Linked DNA regions of Saccharomyces cerevisiae S288C. Changing the gene in region 2 together with the main gene of any one other region gives a genetic interaction. Each region holds a gene or a part of one and is shown on either strand. Other genes may lie near its edges.

The links. A genetic interaction does not mean that the proteins touch.
Region 1: mutations in YKR075C (region 2) and MNN2 together harm fitness more than expected from each alone (negative genetic interaction), as found in Saccharomyces cerevisiae (2 studies listed by BioGRID).

The regions. Positions count from the first base shown.
Region 1 is NC_001134.8:266,516-273,934, forward strand, and holds MNN2 (alpha-1,2-mannosyltransferase MNN2), read right to left. Parts: upstream 2,989-7,419; coding exon 1,195-2,988; downstream 1-1,194. Other genes in the region: glutathione-disulfide reductase GRX7, read right to left, coding at 210-821; cysteine-rich palmitoylated domain-containing protein CPP1, read left to right, coding at 3,732-4,118; KAP104 (Kap104p), read right to left, coding at 4,432-7,188. UniProt on the Saccharomyces cerevisiae protein: Alpha-1,2-mannosyltransferase, responsible for addition of the first alpha-1,2-linked mannose to form the branches on the mannan backbone of oligosaccharides.
Region 2 is NC_001143.9:575,353-582,921, reverse strand, and holds YKR075C (uncharacterized protein), read left to right. Parts: upstream 1-2,171; coding exon 2,172-3,095; downstream 3,096-7,569. Other genes in the region: ECM4 (S-glutathionyl-(chloro)hydroquinone reductase), read right to left, coding at 1-639; AIM29 (Aim29p), read right to left, coding at 3,246-3,713; YKR073C (uncharacterized protein), read left to right, coding at 4,415-4,735; phosphopantothenoylcysteine decarboxylase complex subunit SIS2, read left to right, coding at 4,799-6,487; electron carrier DRE2, read left to right, coding at 6,942-7,569.

The DNA of each region.
Region 1 (7,419 bases), on a different chromosome or scaffold from region 2:
AAATTACAGGCTTCTTCTCATATTTTTCTGCTCTACGTTAACCTACTTTAAACAGTCCAAAAGGCTTATGTTGTCCACATGAAATGCCTAAAACAGATGGCCAATATTTAATTTTTTTCCTTACTACATTTAAATCTGTATACTACCTAAATATCCTCTTTCGCTACTGTGGGAGAAGAAGAAGAATAACTCTCAGTTTATAATCTGATCTAGGCACTCTCAGATTGCGAATTAGCTTTTACAGTAAACGCCCCATCGCTCCATTTTTTGAAAGAGTCTAGAAGTTCATCATTTTTATGTAACTCTGCTATCTCAGTATAACCACCTCTGGAAGTACCACCGATGATAACGTTTGGGACTGTTCTCCTACCAGTGACTTTTTCAATCTGGTCTTGTAGTTCTTTTGTGTGTTCGTGCCTATCCAATTCTACAACGTAGTAAGATGGAGAAAACGTGTACGAATTAGTCAACAAAGCTTTCAGTTTTTTGCTATATGGGCAGCCAGTCTTGCTAAATACAATCATGGGTGACTGTTCCATTATTTTGTTGTATTCTGCAGCGGCATCAAATTCAGCGTCCCCACTATTTTTATCAACTTCTTCGGCTTCCTTATCTTGTGTATTTACTGTATCATGGACAGATTGGTGAGTGCCAGGTGCATTTCCTGAATTGTCAAACGTCACCAATGAATCAGGATGGTGAGTAGTAATACTTTCGTTGACGCTAGCATTCGAATTCCTTAACACAAAAAACACAACAATGAGCAGTAAATTAGTTATTACCAAGACTCTCACGTTTCTTTTGTTTATAACAATAGCCATCTCTAATTTTCTTCAGTTGTTTTGCGTTTAATTTGAAAATTTTGCTTCTTTCCAATATATAGGTTTTTTCTTTTATTTGATTCGAGCTTTTTCACTGAGGGGATATGTACACATTGGCAAATATCCTGCCGAAAGTACTTCTTTATTTTTTTTCAAAACGCAGTCCCACTTACCGGTATGACGTAGTCTCGATTCTCAAATACACCCGGGACTGCATATTTATACATCTGTAGTAAAGTCATTTTATATGGATTGTGAAGGAAAAAATTTACATAACTGGAAGATAAATAAACATAACTATGTAAGGAATAGTAATAAGAATGTAGAAAACGCCAATGGAAGTTGTCCAAACTATAGTCCGACCCGTTGCATATTATTTACCGGCAATCGCCTTATCATGAGTAGATTCTAAAAATGCTAATCTATCGGTGATGTAACCACACACTCTTTTCCATTCCGTTTTATCCTGCCCTAAAAGGTCATCGAGATATTTGAAAGGATTCTTATTAACACAAACATATTCGTTTAAAACCTTGAAATTCTCTAGTTCAATATCGTAATTTTTTACCTTTTTTAAGGCCGTATATGAACGAGCAGGTTTACCATTCGTAGTCAAAAAATTGCTTTTAGATAAATCGTATGGGTCAAACTTTGGGAAGTTTGAATGGATGAACATAACATCTACATGATTCTTGGCATTTAAGTCCTCGTTGTCGAAAAATTCTTCGGTGTATTTTTCGAGGGAATAGTTTTTGTCAAACTTGATTGCATCAGCTGATTTAGTGCCACCGTATTTGTTGCCAATGCTCTCCATAGCATTTAAGTAACGGCCATAATCCTGCACAAAGTCGTGTTGTAACATTGCTACACCATGAAACCCGTCTTCATCATGGTAGCCTTCAACGCCTGTCCTTGTTCTAACTTGGTAAAATGATAGACCATAAAAGTTTGCAGCGGCAATGAAAGTTTCCTTATCACCTTCACCAGCAGCTTTTTGAGAAAATATTGGGTAGTACCACGTTGGTCCATTGACGTTGTAGAATAAAGATAGAAGAGCCGTAGCCAAATGCTTCGTTTTGTTTATCATCAGTTGGCCGGATTCCGTAGACACGTCGGGTATTGTTCCGTCTAGGTCACTTAGCGGGACGTCACTCAAATCCTTCAAATCCTTTGTGTAAACAGCAGGTGGGGTGATATCGTCTCGAGAATTGCGAACTCTCTTTTTCTTGTCCACAGCAATACCTGCAATGTCGTAATACAATGGGTGAGTTGTACGCCTCCAGAAATCGGGCCACATGACCAAGCCCGTAGACACATATGGTTCTTCATTGAATATGTTGTCTAGGGGTTTGATGGGGAAGTTGTCAGCATCCAGTAAGAGCAGGTTTTCAAAACTAGAAGCGATAAGGGCCAATGATTTAAACTGGTATCCTTTGAAAACAAATTTTTCAATCGTCTCTCGTGGTAGAATATCTGAAACGTAAATACACTTGGAGTTATACTTAGGCAGAATCTTGTTACAAAACTCAGTTTCACCTTCATCACCAGGAGGGATCAGGACTTCCACAGGTAACGTGGTCCCCATATTCCTTAAAGTCTTAATGATCAAAAATGCCATAAGGGAGAACTTCCCGCCACCCACTGTGGCTATACCGGACCCTTTGTACGTACCCTTTGGCGAGACGAGAGTCGCTATATGCTCTACGTAGTCCTTATGGCTTTTGGTCAGACTTGCTACTTCATCCGGAGATAGTTCCAAACACTTGGACAGCTCCTTAGCAGACAACTTGTAAAGATCTTTGTAGTGGTCGGGACGGTCTCCAATGTCACCCTTTAATAAGCATGCCTCGTTATACTGCTTTGCAGTACTCCCCTTGGGCGAATCAACCATTAGAAAGTTGAAAACGTTGTTGTAGAAGCTTTTCAACTTTTCATTGCCTGCCTCATCATTGTCCCTCAATGGGGTTGAATCGTCAGCGCTGGCGGCGTCTGAGGAAGATGAATACTTATTGGAGTAACTCTGGACATATCTGTCTAAGTACTCCTTGTACTCCTTGACCGACGTGTTCTCATCCATGTATTTGTTTGTAATGACGAACAGCCCGCACAATATCAAAACTATGAACGTCAGCTTGAACAGCTTTGAAAACCTTTTGGTAAGCAGCATACTGAAAATATAATTTTACTGACCTACCTACACTGATTTGTCTCGAAGTAGATATGATACCTTGAGCAGCACGAGGATATTAAAAAGTAGGGCAATTCTGCTTTTAACGTATAAGCAACACCAAGTACACGTAATTTATTTTGATGATTCTTCTATATTTTTTTTTTCTTCATTGTTATTTTTTCACTATCTTTTTCATCCCTCCGCAAAAGGACGCGATCCTTTTTTAGCACGTGAACGGTAATAACGGGTCCTGGACGATGTATTAGAGTCACCTAATCACCAAGCGAGCCAATGGCGACTCACTTGACTTGCATGTTTGCATAACCTATTTAGCGAACCCTCCAACTTCTGAGCGCACCAGCTTAACTTGTGCGCTAAGCTGCCTTGCCCGACATAGTGCCATCGCTCATTCCACCTCACACCTGATTAACTAAAAGTTTTAAAACTACGGGACTGCGAAAAAGTAGAGCTACGTTACTGCAGACCTACAATAATTGCACACATCGGCCTGATAACGAATGCTTCTAAAATTCTACTGTGCTACTATCGGCTGGTCGCGCCCGACGGGTTCGCTCAGCCGCTCTGCGCCCTCTTACTCTTCAGCCATTCTGCTGCGGCCGAAGCTATAAAAGTATGTCAATTTGGCTTTTTCCAAAATCCCCCTCTGGCTCTTTCTCTTCTCAAGACAAGCATTGAAGAGACTCACTAGTAAGCTTAAGATAGTCCTACACACAACCACCATGTCTGCTAACGATTACTACGGCGGAACCGCCGGCGAGAAGAGCCAATATTCCCGTCCCTCCAACCCGCCACCTTCATCCGCTCATCAGAACAAAACTCAGGAGCGTGGATACCCACCCCAACAACAGCAGCAGTACTACCAGCAGCAGCAGCAGCATCCCGGATACTATAACCAACAAGGATACAATCAGCAAGGGTACAATCAGCAAGGGTACAATCAGCAGGGCTACAATCAGCAGGGATATAACCAGCAGGGATATAACCAACAAGGCCATCAACAACCAGTCTACGTCCAACAACAACCACCCCAGAGGGGTAACGAAGGTTGTCTGGCTGCATGTCTGGCTGCATTATGTATATGCTGCACCATGGATATGCTATTCTAAGAGAACCCGCAAAAGTATTCAAGAATGAAAAAAAAAAAAAGAATAATCTCCCCTTCTGTTCTTTGCAGTTGCCTTTCTTCCCCTCAGTGTTATTTTTTTTCACAAGGAGATAAAAAAAAAAACTTTAACATGTCACTTTAAGCATGTATGTAATACGTCTATTAATTATATGTAACTTTTATAACTATTTTCATTTCTATGTGATCCATTTGCAGTTATGCACCTTTTTTTTTTTTCCGAATTGTGCTATGTATATATCACTAGTAATAATGTACCAAACTATACAAACACGTAGGATACAGTAAAAAAAATTTTAGCTGGTGAACTGTTGTAAGAAGGAGATTTCATCGGGCGTGAAATTTATTGCAGAAATTTGGGCAGAATGGTTCATCAAAAAGGTGTAGATCTCTTGCGCAAAAACATTCGCCTCTACATTGCTTGAAAGGCCCGTAACAATTTTATGAATGGTATCATTACTCATTGTGACCTCCGTGCTGGTCAAATTGATAATTTTCAGGAAACCCATGTACGCGCTACTCTTTTCCTCTACATCGTCCAATGCGTTAACGGACAAACACCATTTATTCCAGTTGGAATCATTGGCAAATGCGCCAGAACTGAAAACTTCAGGGTGTGTTAGCCCCATTTTTCCGATGGTCACAGACAAGTTCTCCATCACAGAGCTGTCTACGATTTGTGTGTTGGTGGTAAATAAATCTAGAATGATTCTAGACATATCAATGATATAAGTATTCAAATCGATACGTTCGCTTATCAAACCAAGCGCCCATATCGCATTTATCACAGCAGGAGTACCATCACTATCGTCGTTATGCATTATTTCCGTACCAATCAACTTCAAGAAATCCTCCAAATTACCAATTACCAGTTCCGAATTGAAAAAATATACAATATCTCCCAACAGGGCAAAGCAGCTTTGTCTTACTTCATGGACAGGGTCCTGCAAACATTCTAGCATGATTTTCAATATCGTTAAATCCTTCGTCCCTTGAGGGAACAATAGATCCTGCGAGTGAGCGCCAAGACCTTGTACCAATCCATCAATCAAATCTAATGAGGTGATGATGAAGTCCTTCTCAGGCACTACTATTGTCGGGTCTTGATGTGATTTGGCTTCCAATTCGACACAATGACATAGAATTCTAAAGGCTCTGTTGTACACTTCTGGTGCCATAGGCATGAATCTTTCCCCCAGTGATGATGCCACGCAGGAAAGACATTCTAAAAGTGGCCACAGCTCCTTGTCACTGTCTGACAGCAAAGCCCATTTTTCAATTAAGGGCGGCAAAATTATTTGCATCGCTGTCTCGTCTAATGCACATTTTTCAGCAAACCTGCCGATGGCATCATATAATATAATTAAATTCTTTTTCTTGTAATATTTCAAACATTTATCAAAACTCGTCAATAATTGACTATAAAATAAAGTTTCAACCAATTCGGAGTCGGCGTTTTCAATAAATACTGCTACACTACTAATAGCCGCCTCTTGAACATCCTTTTTCTTGTCCATTAATGTGTTTATTATAGGTTCTAAGACTGGAATTAAAAACTCAGTATGGTCTTGTAATATCCATGGTGAAAACCTACTTAATGTCCAACATGTCATTTTCCTCACTGGTGCCCACTTATCGTTCAATTGTTCCACTAAAAATGGTATTAGTGCTGGTAAGCCATCATTAAAATACTTCATTCCACCTTCTGCCATGGCCCCCAGTGCTAATATAGTAGCTTCTCTAATAAACCACCTATCAGAACCCAAATGTTCTCTTAAAAATGGGAACGCTATATCCATCACTTGATGAGGTAAAATATTCGTCATTACATCTAGCGTTGCCGCGGAACATTTTCTCAAATTCCATTGCGTATCAACATCGCCATCTTCATCATCATCATCATCATCATCATCTTCGTTGTCATCTGCATCCTCTCCATTTCCTGCCTCTTTCTTTTTCACAATACGGGGTGCAATGGGCTTGATGTCCTCATCTTTATCCTCCAAGAATGCATCATCATCATTAGAAGCTTCCAGGAGAACGATGGATTCTTCGTTATAGACCATTTTCGATAATAATATTGGCACGATATCCTTAACATATGGTTGTAAGATATGTTCAGGAATATTTGGGCTCGTTGCAAAGGCGTGCAAAAACTCGCAGGCTTCAATAGCCACTTTTTCCTCATTTACAGTGGTGATCAAATGCAACATGAATTGTACAATACCATCTAAATGGGAAACCAGCTTATCTGGTCTGAATTCCAATAAGAAACTAAAACTAATGCAAATCTGTGCCCTAACTAGGTCGTTTTCGTCGTTTTGTGCCAACTGAAAAATAATTTCTAAGAATTTATCTAATCTCACAATAAAACTTTGTGTTTGTAGCGGGATCACTGTATTTATACATTTCACCGATTCTGAGCGAATCACAGGTGAGAAATTTGGATTCGAAATAAACCTAAAAAAACTATCCAATAAGGCTTCCATAGGCTTCGTATTTCCCGACCATTCCAATTGGAAAAATTGAGCGCTGTCTTCCATGATCTTAGATAAAGCCTTAATACTTGGCTCATTTCCATTTGAGGTTAGCTCTAGCAACTGGTAAAGCATTTGAAGACCAGTTGGATCATCTCTATGCTGCCTATAGTAAGTGGAAAATAAAGTAGTAATAACGATACCTGTCACGTTCGAAACGAGATTATTGTTCGAATTATAAAGGCCATGTATAATGTTTGATTTGACGTATCCTAAGTCGTGGCTATTGCTCTTAATTAAATTGTTTCCCCCTAGCATTGAATTTTTCAACAGCATACCGGCGGTAGCTCTATTGTTCTGAAGATCCTGTAGGGAGTAGTGTTGCTTCAATACATCATCAGATTCGCCTTCAATTAAAATATAACACAAATAATTGAGAAATTCAGGTTGCAGCTGGAAGTTCTCCATAGCTTCCATTGCGTTATTACGAATCTCTGGATTTGGTGACATACAGTTCTGTAAAAGAGTTGCTAGTTGCAACACATAGTCTTCGGCGGGCTTCCATGTCGATGCCATCTTTATTCACTTAACTACTGCTAACAATTCTGAAAACCAAAGACTGCGGAATATTCTGATATGTATTATTACTATTCACTGCTCTTCTGCATAATTAATACTGAAAAGTTTTTCATACTTTTAAACATAACCTTTTTTTAAGCAAAACTCTATAACCCGGATCAGAAAACTACGAAAAGAGGGTAATAACATAGGTGCAGGATTTCCATCGATAACGACACCGACAATGAG
Region 2 (7,569 bases):
AGAATTGAAGTCATCGATCTGTGTTTTCAACTGAGCAGGAACAAGGTCCGTTTTCTTGTGATCGTCGTCGACAAATTCATCGAACGCACTAGAGTTCAAAATCCTTATAATTTCGCTACTTTCGTTGTTAACAATTGTTTGGGTTTCTAAGTCCCACAGGACTGGGACGGTGAACCTTGCCGAGTATTGAGGATCGCTCTTGTAATATAAGTCACTGATTCTCTTGTATCCATAGTGAGGCTCATTGGTAGCATCAACCATGAATCTTTGACTGTCATTCTTGATCTCGGCGAAGCTCTTGCTGGAATCCTCTTTAGCAGTTCTAATACCACCTGCAACATCGTGCCAATGTTCCAAAAAATCTTCACTGTCCTCCAATTGCTTTTCCATGTCCAAAAATCTCCATCCTTTCTCGTCAAGGTGCCAATGGACTACGCTACATCCTATAACAGAGGTTAATCCCTTCAAAGCCCTCGTAATTAGTGTTCTATGGGCCCATGGGCATGCAAGTGAAACATACAACCAATATCTTCCCTTTGCTGGCTTATAAATTGGGTGTTGCTTAGAGATTGTTTCTCTGAAGGACGAAACCTGTCTTTTGAAAGCTCCGTTTGTACCACTCGCCCACTGTTTCGACATTTCTTATTTATCTTGCGCAGGGTTTGGGTAAATTCTCGTAAGCACTGTAGTGATGGTAAGAGCAGCGTTACCTAATTAACTACCTTTATACAAGAAATGGAAAAGGGTTGAGAGGGGTTGGACGCTAAGACAAATAAATAGGGGTGTGAAATTTCAAGAGCTGACTAATATCTTAGTAACGGAGAACAACAGAGAACAGATGATAAAACTATATTGATACGTTCAAAAGGTCTTAGGACCGTCTGAAGAGGTGAAATAAAGATGGAAAAGTTTGCGTCACCAAGCCTTTTGCGTCGGTTTCCTCTGTAACACTTTTTAATTCAAAGTGTTAAAATCTCAACTGTATACCCTCTAATTTGCATAATAATGAAACTAAATGTAAAAAAAAAAAGGAAAGAAAATCACTCCATAATCAGGGTAATGAATCATTTTACAGTGTCATTTGCATGTTCATACACATACCCTTCTTGACAGAATGCAGGAAAAGCCTCAACTATTTATCGGACACATTCGCAAATGTCCATTGACGAGTAAAACGTTTCCGCGTCACTACATTCGTCACTACACAACTTTAAAATACCTTATTTTTTTAATTATGCGGAGTAAGTATCTTTGCAGAACTAGATGGTTGGATTGAGCAGTAGGCATCAGTGACTCGAATTGGTGCTCATTTTTATTTTAACGTACGATTTGTTCAGGCCTTGCTATGACAAGCTTCCTGACGAAATCATACTGCAAGATACATAGTCCCAGTCCATAAACTAGTAGAATGACAAAAAGAAACTCAGAACATACATAACACGATAGACAACGTATTCACGGTTTTGAACCCCACGTAGTATCCTTCTAAATGGCATTGCCTTTACCACATGAAAAACTAAGAGAAGAAAGCTCTCTGCACTAATCATTATAAACGACAGCGGACCCGGAAGCGAGTACCCGAATAGGCCGGGGAAGGAAAAGATAGAAAGGAATCTTTTTTTCTTCCCCCCGCTCTTTTTTTTTATGCTTTTTGGGGTTTTTCCGGCAACTTTCAACAGAAATGCCGTAGCCGGAAAAACCGAAAGCGGGGGACAGTGAAGCGTGAGAGGGGCGAGACAGGGGGAACTTGAATGGGGTATTTTGCTTTTGCTGCATTTTTTCCGCTGGTACCTCTATCTTTAGGCGACCGGAAAAATTCATTTTCTCATCTTTTTTTTTTTTTCGTTTCCGACTCGATACTCTTTACAAAGAAACCCCCGCGGGGAAATGTTAGATTTGAGCTTTTTCCGCCAGGAAAAGAAAAAACCTGGGGACATTAATCTTGTTTTTTCTTTCTTCTTTTGTCTTCCCTTGGATGACTGCAGAAAAAGTACAGTTACCGGGTCTTAGCAAAAACAAACATATATATATATATATATGAAAGCGTATGGTCAACACGGTTTTATAGGTTTTACTTTTTGCATTCAGTTCAACTTTGGCCCTTTCTCTTATCGCATTCAGATACTACACACAAGTGTTCATACACACACAAATAGATACATATACAGAAAATGACTAGTTTGGACGATACAATAATTTCGTACCAGAATATAATGTTACTGGATAACATGACCAACTACAACAAGCCTGCGATTGACTATTTCCATCATGAATTTAATGATGCAAGCTTGGAAATATCGGCTTCATGGACACTACTATTGAAGATGCGCAAACATAAACTACTTCGATTACCAAGTTGCTCTTCAGAGGACGTGCTAGATTACAACATGTACCTCGTTAGGCTACATCATTGCCTCTGGAGGCGTTGGTCCATAAATCACTATGGTTTACAGAACTCCAAATCCAATCCACTGTCCATCAACTGGAACAAAGAAACCGATGTAACGGTGTTGTACGGTCCAGATTTGACTAACATAGATAGTAATGAAAACGAAATATCGCCGGTCCAGAACCAAATTGACCAGAAACAAACAAAAAATCTAAAATCTGCTTTAAAGAAAAATACGGAATGCTGGGTAACCGAGGAGGTGGATGAGATTAACGCTTCTATAGAGAGCAATGACAACGCTTTGGTGAAATTAGAAGACATTTCATGCCCATCGTCTGTTGATTCTCACACGTCTTCCATTTTCGACCAGCATTCTACATGCACTAAAATTTCCTCCATAGATGAAGATTCTGAAGACCTTATGAACGAAAAGAAGGAACAATTCCCCAGGAAGTTGAAGTTTAACCAAGCCGTGATGAAGAGGGAGATCGACTCAAAGGGGACTATCCGCGAATCCCTCATCAACATAAACGATATCCAACATTCCCGCCACCATCGCCGTCACCATCGTCGCCATCATCACCATCACCATCAAAATAGTTCTCATTCTGATGAAACAATAAAAGAAGCTCATTATGAGTTCAGCAACTATACATTTGGCACTATGGAAGAAGACATTTTTTATAGGAACCAGGTTGTTTTTTAAAGGAGAGTTTGCTCTCTTCTGCATTTCCACATACACATTTGATGTTAATTTACATACGAGTATACTCTCGTACACAACATATATATATATATATATGTAATATATTCATAGCACTTACTTATTAATGAAGGCCATAAGCCAAACAACATCTCACCATTTTTCTTCAGGGTTTTCTTTAAACCTTAGGTAATCCTCTTTGTTGAAAAGCGAAATTTCGGTTTCATTCTCAATGCCATACTCGAACAGCTTTTTTTTGTCATTCTCTATGTCTAAAGTCCAGTCGTCATCGTGGTCAAAATTGATCACGAGATTAACCGTCTTGGAACCATGTGCGTGCGTGTATATCTTTAAAGTATCAAACTTAACATTACGGAATGGTCTGAATGAACCTTCATTTTGAATTTTGTTCAAAACGTCATTGAACAGGTCCTTTGCAGTTTTATCAGCAAGATCGTAATCGTGCAGCACTATGTTCTTGACGTTTCTATATGGGAAAGATTTTATTACTCGGATTGTAATAACGGAGTTCTTTAGTGGTCTGGCATTTGAGGTTAATGGCTCTTCCAAGTCATAATCATGAAAGGTTGTTGACATTTTCAGCCTTTTAGTTGAATTCATGAAATAATGCAACCAAACAAGAAAAAATTTGGGGGAGGTAGTCTACGCATTTCAGTTCTAACTTCCTTCCTTTTCTTTCACTATTAATTGAAACTTATTTTCATTTTTTTTCTTTAGCATTGAACGCCGAATCTAAAAAAGTAAAGAACTCCTCATAGGGGGCTCGAACCCCTGACATTTCGGTATCCTTGCTTAAGCAAATGCGCTTAAAAGCCGAACGCTCTACCAACTGAGCTAACAAGGATGAGTTCTTCGGAGGGCTAACTCATATAAATAACTAATAAAGGCGAAATAGTGGTCACCACCATCACACTACACCCATATCAACGACAAGAGTTTAATTTGACCGTGGAAATTTATTACTGCTGATTTGGGTTCTATGATAAATCCTCGTAACGTAGAGACTATGTTTTTATATGCGCATTAAGTGCCGGAAAACGTGAGAAATAGGCTTTCCGGAGCATCAAACCTGAGGTTTCATAAATTGTGTTCGTGAAGGATGCATTCCAGAGGGCCATCCATCCAGCATAAAAAGAGATCTACAAAGCAATTATGTGGTTTCGCCATTATCCGTAGGATGACCTAAAAAATGGTAATGATTCACGTGATCTAGAAACTTTAACGTGTTATATCATTCAAGGCGTAACTTATACGCGCGGGGTACCCTATCATATCTAACACACGTACCCTGGGTTAATGCCATGATCGTCTTTGATGTATCTCTAATGATCATTATTATTTTTTCTTTTGCTTTTAACATGAGTCAAAGCAATATTCTTATGTTATATAACTCACCCCATGTGCTCGTGGGCAGTGACGCACGCAACTTTTTCTCTTGCAAAAAATGGCATCGATGCTTTTCTGGGGAGGTGATATTAGAGGAGAAGAAGTCACAGAGTGCTCTTGGATCACGATCCCTCACTTGTACTTGTCCACTTATCAGCGCCGTCCAGTTACATTTGGAGAGATCTTTTTTTAGCCTGGCCTTCTTTGCTGTCATACTACTTTATATTCCGGGATAAAATATAAAGAAATATTAGTTAGGAAAAAATTAATAGGGAAGAAAGATCTAGAAGCAAACAGCAATGACTGCCGTCGCCTCTACTAGCGGGAAGCAAGATGCTGACCATAACCAGTCTATAGAGTGTCCAAGGTTTTCGCGTGGACAGAAAGAGATTTTGTTGGACCATGAGGATGCGAAGGGGAAGGATTCAATAATCAACTCCCCCGTGTCAGGGAGGCAATCAATAAGCCCTACTTTGTCGAATGCTACTACCACGACTACGAAATCTATTATGAATGCCACCGGCACCTCCGGCGCAGTAGTAAGTAATACTCCGGAGCCTGGTTTGAAGAGAGTCCCCGCCGTCACTTTCAGTGATCTAAAGCAACAGCAAAAGCAGGATAGTCTGACTCAGCTGAAGAACGACTCAGAAAGGACCAAGTCTCCAAATAGTAATCCTGCTCCTGTCTCAAATTCCATTCCTGGCAATCATGCAGTTATACCGAACCACACCAACACTTCAAGAACAACGCAATTATCTGGGTCTCCACTCGTCAACGAAATGAAAGATTATGATCCTAAGAAAAAAGACAGTGCTCTTAAAATAGTTGATACCATGAAGCCTGACAAAATCATGGCCACTTCAACGCCAATAAGTAGAGAAAATAATAAGGTAACCGCCAAAGCCCCCACCAGTATTACACTTCGAAAGGAAGATGCACAAGATCAAGCTAACAATGTTTCAGGCCAAATTAATGTGCGTTCTACCCCGGAAGAAACGCCAGTGAAGCAGTCCGTCATTCCTTCCATCATCCCCAAAAGAGAGAACTCCAAGAATTTGGATCCCAGACTACCTCAAGATGATGGAAAATTGCACGTGTTGTTTGGCGCTACAGGTTCGTTATCGGTATTTAAGATCAAGCCAATGATTAAAAAACTAGAAGAAATATATGGACGTGATAGAATAAGCATTCAAGTTATCCTCACTCAATCAGCAACACAGTTTTTCGAACAAAGATATACCAAGAAAATTATCAAATCTTCAGAAAAACTAAATAAAATGTCGCAGTACGAATCCACTCCGGCAACTCCAGTGACACCAACACCAGGACAATGCAACATGGCTCAAGTAGTCGAGTTACCCCCACATATTCAACTATGGACCGACCAAGATGAATGGGACGCATGGAAACAACGAACTGATCCTGTACTTCATATAGAACTACGTCGCTGGGCGGATATACTGGTAGTAGCTCCATTAACTGCAAACACATTATCAAAAATTGCTTTGGGCCTGTGCGACAATCTTCTGACAAGTGTCATTAGAGCTTGGAATCCGAGTTATCCCATTCTTTTGGCACCTTCTATGGTGAGTAGCACTTTTAATTCTATGATGACAAAGAAGCAACTACAAACGATAAAGGAGGAAATGTCCTGGGTCACTGTTTTCAAGCCGTCTGAGAAAGTTATGGATATAAATGGTGATATTGGTCTCGGGGGTATGATGGACTGGAATGAGATTGTTAACAAAATCGTTATGAAATTGGGTGGGTACCCAAAAAATAACGAGGAAGAGGACGATGATGAGGATGAGGAAGAAGACGACGACGAAGAAGAAGATACAGAAGATAAGAACGAAAACAACAACGATGATGATGACGATGACGACGATGACGACGACGACGACGACGACGACGACGACGACGACGACGATGATGACGAGGACGAGGACGAAGCAGAAACCCCAGGTATAATAGATAAGCATCAATAAATAGTCTATGAATTACAAATACACTAAACACATTCTACTTATTTGTGTTTTGTAATTTCTGGAAAAATACTCATTAGGCAAATTCACGCAGCATATTTACAAAATGTCACAAATTTTTTTCCTTTTTTACTTGCAGTAGGTATGTAATGCCATACTAGCGTACATAGAGCTCTTCATATAAACCGCTATTTATTACTAATTTTAATAATTCAGTAATTCATTAAATACATTCATTACTTTCTGGGTAAATATCTATTCGTTTCTCATTTTTCTTTTTTTGACATATCCCGGTACCGGAATAAGTCCGATACTATTCAAAAGCTTCTGGAAAAAAAAAATAAAAAAAAGAAATGATTAGTAATCATTTAATTTCATGACATATTAAAAAGGTATTCTAAGCAGAAGTCTTTCATCACATTTGATCTAAGCATATACACTGTAAGTGAAGGTATCGATGTCACAATACAAAACTGGTTTACTTTTAATACATCCGGCGGTGACTACAACGCCAGAGCTAGTAGAGAACACTAAGGCTCAAGCTGCATCAAAGAAAGTCAAGTTCGTGGACCAGTTTTTAATCAATAAACTAAATGATGGGTCCATAACTTTGGAAAACGCAAAATATGAAACAGTACACTATTTGACGCCAGAAGCCCAGACTGATATTAAGTTTCCGAAAAAGTTAATTTCTGTCTTAGCTGACTCATTGAAACCAAACGGCTCACTAATTGGTTTAAGTGATATTTATAAAGTAGATGCATTAATCAATGGGTTTGAAATAATTAACGAACCAGATTATTGCTGGATTAAAATGGATTCCTCTAAACTAAACCAAACTGTTTCTATACCACTGAAAAAAAAGAAAACGAACAATACTAAGCTACAGAGTGGTAGTAAGCTACCAACTTTTAAAAAAGCTAGTTCTTCAACCTCTAATTTACCCTCATTCAAAAAAGCAGATCACAGTAGGCAACCTATAGTTAAGGAAACAGACAGCTTCAAACCACCTAGTTTCAAAATGACCACTGAACCAAAAGTCTACCGAGTCGTAGACGACCTGATTGAGGATAGCGATGATGATG